Linked DNA regions of Schizosaccharomyces pombe. The gene in region 1 interacts genetically with each later gene. Each region holds a gene or a part of one and is shown in the gene's direction. Other genes may lie near its edges.

The links. Genes that interact genetically often act in the same process or in processes that back each other up.
Region 2: of rrp2 (region 1) and ulp1, changing one suppresses a phenotype caused by changing the other (phenotypic suppression), as found in Schizosaccharomyces pombe (one study listed by BioGRID).

What each region holds. Positions count from the first base shown.
Region 1 is NC_003423.3:3,838,004-3,844,622, forward strand, and holds rrp2 (DNA translocase/ SUMO-targeted ubiquitin ligase E3), read left to right. Parts: upstream 1-1,565; 5' UTR 1,566-1,633; coding exon 1,634-4,756; 3' UTR 4,757-4,838; coding exon of another isoform or gene 4,839-5,557; 3' UTR 5,558-5,603; coding exon of another isoform or gene 5,604-5,745; 3' UTR 5,746-6,102; downstream 6,103-6,619. Other genes in the region: protein N-terminal amidase nta1, read right to left, coding at 4,839-5,557, 5,604-5,745; U3 snoRNP-associated protein Utp10, read right to left, coding at 6,444-6,619.
Region 2 is NC_003423.3:2,365,302-2,369,727, forward strand, and holds ulp1 (SUMO deconjugating enzyme Ulp1), read left to right. Parts: upstream 1-1,793; 5' UTR 1,794-1,815; coding exon 1,816-3,522; 3' UTR 3,523-3,762; coding exon of another isoform or gene 3,763-3,889; 3' UTR 3,890-3,892; downstream 3,893-4,426. Other genes in the region: arrestin-related substrate adaptor for RhoGEF, Art1, read right to left, coding at 1-429; pdc2 (topoisomerase II-associated deadenylation-dependent mRNA-decapping factor), read right to left, coding at 3,763-3,889, 3,945-4,115, 4,154-4,426.

The sequences.
Region 1 (6,619 bases):
CGTAAACACGAGAGTCTACTGCAATCAAAATAACAGCAATTGCGCTTTAAACCTACGAGCAAAAAGAAAGAGAAGAAAATATTAAAATAAAAGACCTCAAAAAAAAAAAAAAGCGAAATGCTAACTTCAAAATCAAAATGCAATTTTTAACTCAAATTTGACGCAATTCCCTCGATATTACTTTCTATATGTAGCTCAATTAAAATATAAGAAAATGAGAAATAATATAAGCACAAGGACAAAGGAAACAAAGGAATTGTTCAAATACGGGGTTTCGATGTTGTAGCGTAGGTAAGTTGACTTATCTATCAGCACATTGTTAGGCAATCTATTTATGCAATTATAAATTATTGATTTTTTTAAGGTTTTTCATTTACATAAGTATTTTTTTGAATTTTATTTGTGCAACCATGTTATTAATTATGTCTTTTGAATTTCTTTTCTTATGCAGTTTTGGATTCCTGCGCAGGGTTCCATCGCTTCAGTCATAGTAGTAAAATGAGGTAAATGATTTACGTTGCTTGAAATGTGCAGATCCTACGGATGCGTCATATGGTGCTGGCAAAAGAAAAATGCGAATTTGTAGGTTTAGAGACAGCTTAAATTTTGCTTTCACCGTTTCCATTAATTCTATAAACTTTCATTTTTCATACAGTTGTTTGTCTTTGTATCCACCTGGCTAAATACATTAGAGGTTAAGCGCCAACACTCAGTCATATAAATATTGAATAGTAAGCCGCTAAAGAGAATTCAAGCGACACTACTTGATCAATTTTTAATGAAAGATACCATTATAAATTTAGAAATACAAATAATAATAGTTTTGAAATTTGGTTCTGCTATCAATACCTACGCATTGCACTTTAAAGACAAAGTAATTAGGAAAAAGGTAATGAATATTTTTAATTTAAAAAAAAAAAAAAAAAAAAAAAAAAGAAATTTAGGTATTAAGTAAAGCCATATAGCTTAAAATGCATGGGTATGTAACAGTATTCATATAGATTAGTTGAATTTAGGGGGAAACAACTTTAGAAGAAAGTAGAACATATAAAAACATTAATTAAAATATTTGTTTATTAAAACAATTTACAGCTGCTTTGATACTGCACGGACGATGCTTAAGCTATTTGAAACGTTTAATTAGAAAATTTGCAAAATGCTGCTTGGGAAACTAAGCAAGAAACATCAAAAATTTTTAAAATCGCTTTTAATACTACAATGACAAATTAGAACTGGGTTAAAAATGCTCTCAATTTATTTATTTATTCCGTCCATTTTCATCTCGCTACTAACATTTTTCAAGGATTTAAAAGTTTCACAGTTCTGTTTTTATAAAATATGTATACAGATGACTCTTCAATACCCCTTTGATTTCTTTCAGGTTTACTGATCAGCATTTTTATAAAACTCTCCCAAAACAGAAATTATTATAATAAGAATTTTTTATGATTTAAAAAATTTAATTTCTTTCCTTCCATTTCGAATGATCACAAATTCATGTACACATTTACCCTTGTTAACTTACATTTGGTACTTATTCTAAACTTTTGGGGCGACTGAGTATCACCACACCAGTTTGCCTACCTAAAATTACACACTACATTTTAAACACAAAGCATTTTTTTGCTAATTTATGAGAAATAATACAGCTTTTGAACAATTTACGTTAAATCCATGTGAACAAATACCTTTAGATGACAAACATAACATTGGGTTCAATAAAAATAATACCCCGGACTATTCTTCTTCTGCATCGTCTGACCAATTGTTAAAAAATGATATAAACAGACATGAAATGGAAAGGAGAATTGCTTTTCTTAATCGAAAACAGGCGCTATTCAATGCCTTTATGCATGATTCATCGTCCTCTTTAAATACGATGGAATCTAACATAGAAAAAGTGAATGGCCTTTTTCCTAATGACAATAGTGTGATTGCATTAAAGCCTAATGAAGAGAAGCTGAACAGTTCTCTTTCCGTTGAAAATAATGATTCTACTTACACGGATGCCACTTTAATTGCTCCTAAAATTGGGCTTGATCGTCCAAACATCAATGCAATTACTATTGATGTTGATGGCCACTCTTTGCAAAACGAAATTAGTTCTTCAACAGATAAGCTTAGTCCGAGTCAATCTGATGCACTTTTTGAACAAAAACAGGACTCTTTGTTTTGGAACGACAATGCTGTGATTGTCGTATCTGACTCTGAATCCGATGATAATAATGTTCGGACGAAATCTTCACTGAACGACCATGATAAAGTTAATATGAAGGAAAAAAGGAATTTAGAGCTTGCGTTTATGAATTCGAAAAGGAAAAAACTAGAGTTACCTTCGTTACCAGTTTTATCTACGGCTGGACCTTCTTATACCAATTCTTTAGCTCTTCCTCCTTTTCATCATCATAATAATTATAAGATGTTTAACACAACTCACACTTTAGAAGATGATAAGTTTCTTCAAGGAAAAGGAACTTCTAATAATCCGATCTCTTTATCAGACGAAGAAGATAACGAAATTAATTTTCAGAATAAGCGTTATGGCTCGGATTCAGTCATTCTTCCGGGTGGTTTGTTGCATGATTCCAAGCTACCCGAACCTGGTAAACACTTATTCCACCTTCAATGGTATCACGATAGATTTCACAATATTGAAGGATTCAATTTGTCAGACTCAAATAACCAGAAAGTTCAAGATGATCAGCAACAACAGTTGGAGGAGTTGTTCAAAGATCTTGATGAGCAGCTTGTCAACGATCCAACAATTCGCGAAGGTACACCTGCTGGACTAATACCTACATTAATGGAACACCAAAAGGAAGGACTAATGTGGTTAAAAAGATTAGAAGAAAGCTCTAAGAAAGGAGGGATTTTGGCAGATGATATGGGTCTAGGAAAAACTGTCCAGGCTCTTGCATTGCTAGTAACAAGGCCTCCAGAATCTAAATCAGTTAAAACAACTCTGATTATCACCCCTGTGTCGCTATTACAGCAATGGCATAATGAAATACTTACTAAAATTGCTCCCTCACATAGACCCACTGTTTATATTCATCACGGAAGTTCGAAAAAGCACAAAATTGCTGAACAATTGATGTCGTATGACATTGTTTTGACTACTTATAATGTCATCGCTTACGAGTTTAAAAACAAAATGGCTTATGACAAGAGTATCGAAGATAACGCTCCAATAAAAAAATTTGAACACCTTCCATTTTTTGAAGCAGAGTGGTATCGAGTTATATTGGATGAAGCTCAAACTATCAAAAACAGGAATACGTTAGCTGCTCGTGGATGCTGTCTATTAGAATCAACTTATCGTTGGTGTTTGAGTGGTACCCCTATGCAGAATGGGGTTGAGGAGTTCTACAGCTTGATAAAATTTCTGAGGATTAAACCTTATTCAGACTGGTCAAGTTTTTCAAAGGACTTTACCATTCCTTTAAGTAGCAATATAAACACGTCCGCTCCTATGAAGCGCTTTCGTGGCTTATTAAAAGCAGTGCTACTTCGTAGAACGAAAAATACAAAGATTGATGGCAAGCCAATATTGACACTTCCTCCAAAAACCGCCGTCAAATCTGAAACAGACCTCTCTTCTTCTGAGATGGAATTTTACAATACGCTTCAAAGCGGAGCACAAATTCAAATGCGTAAATATCTTCAAGAAGGGACTATAACTACGCATTACGGTAGTCTACTAGTATTACTTTTGAGACTTCGACAGGCTTGTTGTCATCCCTGGCTAATTGTTGCTCGAGAAGCAGCGGTTGATGATAACGATAGCTTTCAAGCTAAGAATCGTGCAATCTACAACCAAATATATCCCGAGGCTGTCAATCGCCTTAAGTTAATTGAAACGTTGCAATGCTCCTTATGTATGGATGTTGTTGCAGAACTTTTGATAATTGTGCCTTGCGGTCATTTTCTATGTAGAGAGTGCTTAACCCATGTTATTACATCCAGTGAGGATATGGCTAAGCAAACAAGCAACGAAAATATTTCTCCTAAGTGCTCAGTTTGCGAGGAGTACATCGATACTGAAAGGCTTTTGAGTTACGCATTATTTAGACGATATTCTGGAATGGCACCTATTGTCGATGCCGATAACAAATTAAGAACAGAAAACATTTCCGAATTGCTACCTAAACAGTATAGTAATATCTTAGAGAATAGACAAATGGGTATGAAGATCTTTACGGATCCTAAACATTGGACCACTTCTACAAAAATTGAAAAAGCATTAAATGCAGTTAAAGAAATCATCAAGAAACAGCCAACTGACAAAATTTTAATATTTTCACAGTTTGTTTCTTTTCTTGAGCTTTTTACGGTACCCTTTCGACAAGAGGGTATAAAATATCTTATGTATACTGGTGGTCTAAGCACAGCGGAAAGAAATCAAGCTCTTATTAATTTTGAAGTTGATCCGAACGTGAGAGTTTTACTGATCTCTTTAAAAGCAGGAAATGTCGGGTTAAACTTGACTTGTGCAAATCATGTCATCATACTCGATCCATTTTGGAATCCTTATATCGAAGAACAGGCTGTCGATCGAGCACATAGAATTGGACAAGATAAACCGGTAAATATTTTACGAATTGTTACTAATAACACGATTGAAGAGCGAGTTTTAGCCTTACAAGACAGAAAGAGAGAACTAATAGATAGCGCTTTAGGGGAAAAAGGGCTTAGAGAAATTTCACGTCTGAATACAAAGGAGTTGTCATTTTTATTTGGAATGTCATCACGATAATAGAAATTTAACAGGCTTATTAAAACCAATATGTATTATATAATATGTTTTCATGAATAGAAATAAAAAACGTCGCACATCTTTATTTTTCAAGTTCTCCAACTACAATTCCATTCTCAGCAGCTTTCAAGACACCATGTAAGATAGCTCTTCCTTGAGAAAGTTCCATAATACAAGAGGTACCGGAAAAATTTAAATCATTCTCCTTTCCCCACCGATTTGCTACAAGAACGATTGCATCCGTATTCGAATTTATTAACGGTGAAAGTCTAGTGGTCCAGTAATGTAAATTTTTGATGTCGGGCAGGGAAGCATCAATGACTTTATCATCTGACACAAGCCATGCCATACTTAAACAAATAATTGGTCGTGATACATTCGAAGAAACCATTTGTTGATGCTCTAGCTCACGCAAAATGAAGTTTGCATATTCAAACTTCTCAAAAGGAGCTTTAAAATCATACGGGTTAATGTCCATACAAATTGCCATTGAAATAGGGCCCAGTTCAGGAATACAGGGTTCAAAAGAGAAACCCTTGCCTTCAGTGGCCCATGATTTGTCTGTTTCAAAAAGAAAGTGCTTGTGGTAAACGTTCAACAACTCTTTTTTGGGAGAAATGAGAGCTGTACTATTGTAAAGAGTAGAAATGCCGTTTGAGTTTTGAAACTCAGGAAATCCAATGATGGTGTAGCACCGATATTGCTCAGAGACTTCTTGAGCAAATTGAATGCTTGGACAATGATTGCTAGTTACGTTTTCTAAAAAGGGTTGTATACTTTCTGAATTTTTAAAATTGTAGCCTACAGGAAAGTTAGCTAACTCTTCTTAATAATAAAGACCACCCACCAGTTAAGCACATTTCAGGGAAAACCAATAGCTTAACAGACTGTAATGCTTCAGAATGTTGATCCAAAAGCTGGCGAAGATGAACGATGTTTTCGTTCACCTTTCCCAACTTGGGAAAAAATTGTACACATCCAAACTTCATTAGTACTGTCGTTGCTGTTTAAAAGGATGCACTAGTAGTACAAACAAATTTTAAATTGAGAAGTGTTGACCGTTTTTATGACATCGAAGTGGCAAACTCTTAAACAAGTCCTTAGCGAGGCTTTTTTTTACCAATTCGATAGATAAATGGAATTAGAATTTTATCTCTTGTATATAAAAGACCGACAAGAAACTGGCCAAATCACCATTTCCTAGACAAAAACTGACTTAAGCAAATTTAAAGACGTATGCCGTTCCACTAGATTACTGCTATGTAGGATGATTGCACTTTACGAAGTCGCTCAGATATACAATATTTCGATACTTCAATGAAATTTACTGGGTTTTAATACACTGGTTTAAACTTCAAAATTATTTTGCTGCTGTCAAACATTTGTAAACTGCAAAAATTTCTCTCTTAATTTATAGTATTATGAAACCGAAACCAACCAAACTATTTATAATCCCAAGATAATTGAGAATTGATGAATACAACCCTAAAGGTCATTGATGAGAAGACCCATTATGGATTGCAATCAACATGATCGTCTTTTCCTTTTTTTTTGGCAGGGATTAGACGAAAGCGTATATATTCATAACGAATCAATAATTATTTTTTTTAGAATGAAAAATTTAGAAAACGAAAGATTCCGTTTAAAACTCAGCCTGTGAAAAACGGACCCACAACCTCTACAATCCTTATGTAAGGTAATCTTGGAGGGATTCATTCTCACCGAGACGGTCATCTATTATCCGCACGAGCTCAGCCGTAGCAGTTTCAACCTGATCATCATCATCTTCCATTAGTTCAGCAATAAATGGTACTGATTGAGGCAATGTAGAAATCCAATTCTCACCAAGGCGCCCGTAAAGCT
Region 2 (4,426 bases), 1.5 Mb from region 1:
AGTATGAACAGAAGGATTATCCTGATCAGACGCATAAGAATCTACTATCCAATCGCTAGTAAGGGAGGGTGGAGGTGATTTGATAGACAAATCGCTGATAGAATAATTATTATCATTAGGAGGTATGTTATTTTCAGGATGCTCGGAATGAAGTGGAAACAAAACCTGCCTTGCCAGACACTTATTATCTGATAAGTGATTACTTATACCCAAGGATGGTATTACCACTGATTCAATTTTCCATAATTCTAACGTTATTTGAACCAAAGCCAAAGGTTGGTGAATTTCTTTACTTCGAACTTGGACGATACCAACCAACCTTGGAGCTGAAGTTGGTATCCCATTAAATCCAGCTTGGAAATCCAAATGTGGTAACGGACGTATCTCCAAAGGAGAAAATTGCCGTATTAGCGTACACGGGGATGTCATGCTCTTACATTTAGTGAGTTCCTCTGGCTTGGTGCTGGTTATGGGAAGTTGAATCTACCAAATGGTAGACAGGTTGGTTCAGTGCAGCAATGTCAGATCTAGATAGCTAAATAAAATCTTTTAAGCACTCGCTTAAACACTGCTAAGTGACTTTTTATAGCAATGAAATTAATAATATTTTATTATATAAAAATCTAATTTTAGGCCAAAAAATGTACTTTTGTTTCCATTCCATAGAATTAAAATCAAAAGCCTACAATTGATAGCCAAGCATCTAAAGCTAGTATCTGTTGTAAAAAAGTTCCATTTTGATTACAATAGTAAAAACTAAAATGACTTTAATAGCCTAATTTTGAAATTGGTATTTTCAACTTAAAATTCACTTACGAAAGCCTAAAATATGTTTATTCTTACAGCAGAAGGCTTTTTTTTTGAATTTTTGAATTTTTGAAACCATAACACACGATTGATCGCAACATACATATACGAAATATAGAAGAGAGACTGAATTCAAACGAAAACAATATAGCAAGATATCAGATTATTGAGCAGCAGAAGAAAGGGAAATAAAGCAAGTAAATACTATTTTACTAAAAATCAAACGAATCTCTAAAAGAACAGATATTTCACGCATAGTTAACAGACAATGCATAACAAAAAATTCAAAATCGAGAAAAACAAGAATCAAGAGCAACTGGTAATGCTAATTTTTGATAGTTATATGAGCCGTAGTATGATAAAAAACCCCGGCGATAATTGAGGAAATTCATTGCTGATGTACGACTCTTTTCTATCTAGGAAATAATGATTGTTTGAAGGATAACCTGAATATAGGGCTTTCTGTTCATTCAAAGATCCCTTCAGGAAGTGTTAAATGGTTTGTATAAAACTAACTCACATTTTCCGATTTATCTTTTCATTTTCAGGGCATATATCAGAACTTAAAACAATTTACTAGTAGCGATACGCTACCACTTACTTATTAAACGCTTAAAAGAGTAACACAGTGTACTGTCATGAATGTATATTTTATAAAAGCAATATGATATTTAATTTACATTAATATACTTGTAAGCTTCTCACGGCTAAAAGTAGTGATAGCCCACATTGAAGTAGGATTTTAGTGTAATGAAATCAAACACAGTAGGCCCTAAAGATAAACGGACACTTACATGTTAAGCAACATAATTTAAAATCTTACAAGCAAAGCTAGCGGCTCGAAAGCCAAACATTGTAATATAAACACAAAAAGTAGTTTGTTTACAGTAAATACCGCAATACTCGTATAACGAGGTATTTTCACAACGTAAGCAAGAACGCGCTCATCCTTCCAGGTTGTTGTGTGTCACAGCCTCTCGCGATTCACCCTTTACAATTCACTCGTGAATGATAGGAAAACGCAATGCGTCAAAAAGGACGCGTCAGGATGATTGTATTACATATGAAGAGTATCAAAGGAAACGTAAAAAGACATTTTTGAACACGTTTGTTAATATTTGTTCTCGTACAGTTACTTATGCAAAACTTTTTTTGACAAAAACTCCCATTTCTGAATTGGATCGCATCGCTGGCGAGGCGATACCATCTAATAGTAATAGTACAAATTCAAAACTAGAGCCTTCTACTAAAGCCCCTGAATCTCGGTTTTCTCACATAAATTCCAAGACTGAACGTGGTTACGTGACGGTCGAATCTGATATGTCTTCTCACAATACTCTTGACAGAAATAGTAAACCTACCGTTTCTCATTCATATACAAATTCTAGTAAGGATGAAAAATTTTTGGATCCCATTGCTCTTCAAAATCTATTTTCCCCTGCCTCTGACACGCATTCTCAAAACATCCATGACGAAGCATTATCTCCATCAAGCTTTCGTGTGTCTCGTTCGAGATACTTCCCCCGACCTCATCGGTCTTCCAAAAATTTATCTGTTAGTAATCGGTTACAGCTTGCGGTTTTTAAGGAAACAACTTCATCGACATTATCCCACGGTAATTCCGTTGAGGCTGACGAAATAAACTCTTTTAATCCTACACCTTTCTCTTCTTCTCCTCTGCACTTTACGAACTCCTCTCCAAATCCAAACTCTGACATTGTTACACCGGACAAGCAGCTAGATGTTGTTAGCGAACACGCCAGATATAAACACCTTCCTTTTACGGCTACGTTAAGAAAGAAAAGTCCTCATGATTCAACGTCTCGGAAAGCCTCTTTTAGGTTCGTTCAATCTGATCAGCAACCAGCGCGGAATATCGTTACTTCTGATATCCAAAATGAAAAATCATTACTGTTGCTAATTCGAGATTTGAAAGAAAAGCAAACAGAATCTTTTCAAGATTGGAACGAAGTTGACTTTTTACAATTAAAAGGTTTGGAAATATCTCCACCCCCCACTCGCCCCAAGTTCATTCCGGAACTTGAGTTTCCTGATAATGCTCGAAAGCGTGCACTGAAATATTTAAACCAAAGCAATTCTGTTTCCTCTTCTGAACCCATCATCACCAAATTTAATATTCCAATCACGCTTAAAGACTTGCATACTCTGCGGAATAGACAATGGTTAAATGACGAGGTAATTAATTTTTACATGAATTTGATTTCGGAACGCTCTAAAATTGATTCATCCTTACCTCGGGTACATGGGTTTAATACTTTTTTTTATACATCTTTGCAGCGCCGTGGATACGCGGGTGTTCGAAGATGGGCCAAAAAGGCACGCGTTAATATTGCAGATATGGATGCTGTATTTATACCAGTACATCTGGATGTCCACTGGTGTATGGCTGTTATTAACAAATCGAAGAAACGATTTGAATACTGGGACTCGCTGGCCGGAAGCCCTGGTAAAGTTTTTGATTTGTTGCGCGACTATTATATTGCAGAAACAAAAGGTGCCGTCGACGTGTCAGATTGGGAAAATTTTATGGATGACAATTCTCCAAGACAACGAAATGGACATGATTGTGGAGTTTTTGCTTGTAAAACTGCTGAATGTGTATCTAGAAATGTTCCTGTTCAGTTTAGTCAAAATGATATGCCTGAACTACGAATCAAAATGGCAGCTAGTATTATTGATGCACAAATCTATTAAATATGTGCTATAAACTTTTTGTCTATATACTTATCGTTTTTTATATTAATTTCTTTCTCGTTCAATACATTTTATTTCATATTCAGCGTTTTCAAAAAGGACATAATTTACTTAAATCTATATTAGAGCGTATGCATTTTTTAAGTAGCAGGGAATACTCTAATTAATAAATCTGAATCCAGGAATCTCAGCAAATATAGCTTTTGAAAAAAAAAATACCCGCATATCTTATAAACAAACTTAAGCGCTGAGCTGACGAGCGTCGAGCCCCATTGCATTTAAAAACAAATTAACATTGCTGATGCGCACAACAGCAATTTCAGAAGGTGCCCGTTTGCTAGTAATGATGTTATCAAGTACTCTGTCCCTATTTTTTACATATTTGTTAGTACAAAAACTCGACTAGACATATTTTAACGTACCTAGTTTCAGAAACCAATGTAAAATGTTGTTCAGAGCTAGCAGCAGTAGCACAAGCTGCTAAGAATTCCCATGGATAAGATTCATCAGCATAAGCTCGAGCGTTAGGTGGTGGGAATACCGTCGAGAAATGACCTTTTACGCGATTAAACATAACATTGAATGTATTTTCCCTAAATAGTTAGATGCTGTAAATACATGTATAACGTACCATTCTTCTTTTTCATTTTGATTTACAGTGCCAGATTGCTTTAAAATTTCTGCGCGACTAATGAATAGAGTAAGGAACGACAAACCAATCTTCGTCTGTATTAAATAAACAGCATTAGTGCGATTGAGAAGTTGAGAAAATAAGTTATTTATAGTTTCCAAATCAAGTTCATTAACAATAGTGAGCAATGGAGGGATGATGAACTGCGTGAAAGAACTCATTTCGGAAACAACGTCCAAAGGCAGCTCACCGTTAACGTCAAATGTTCCCCTA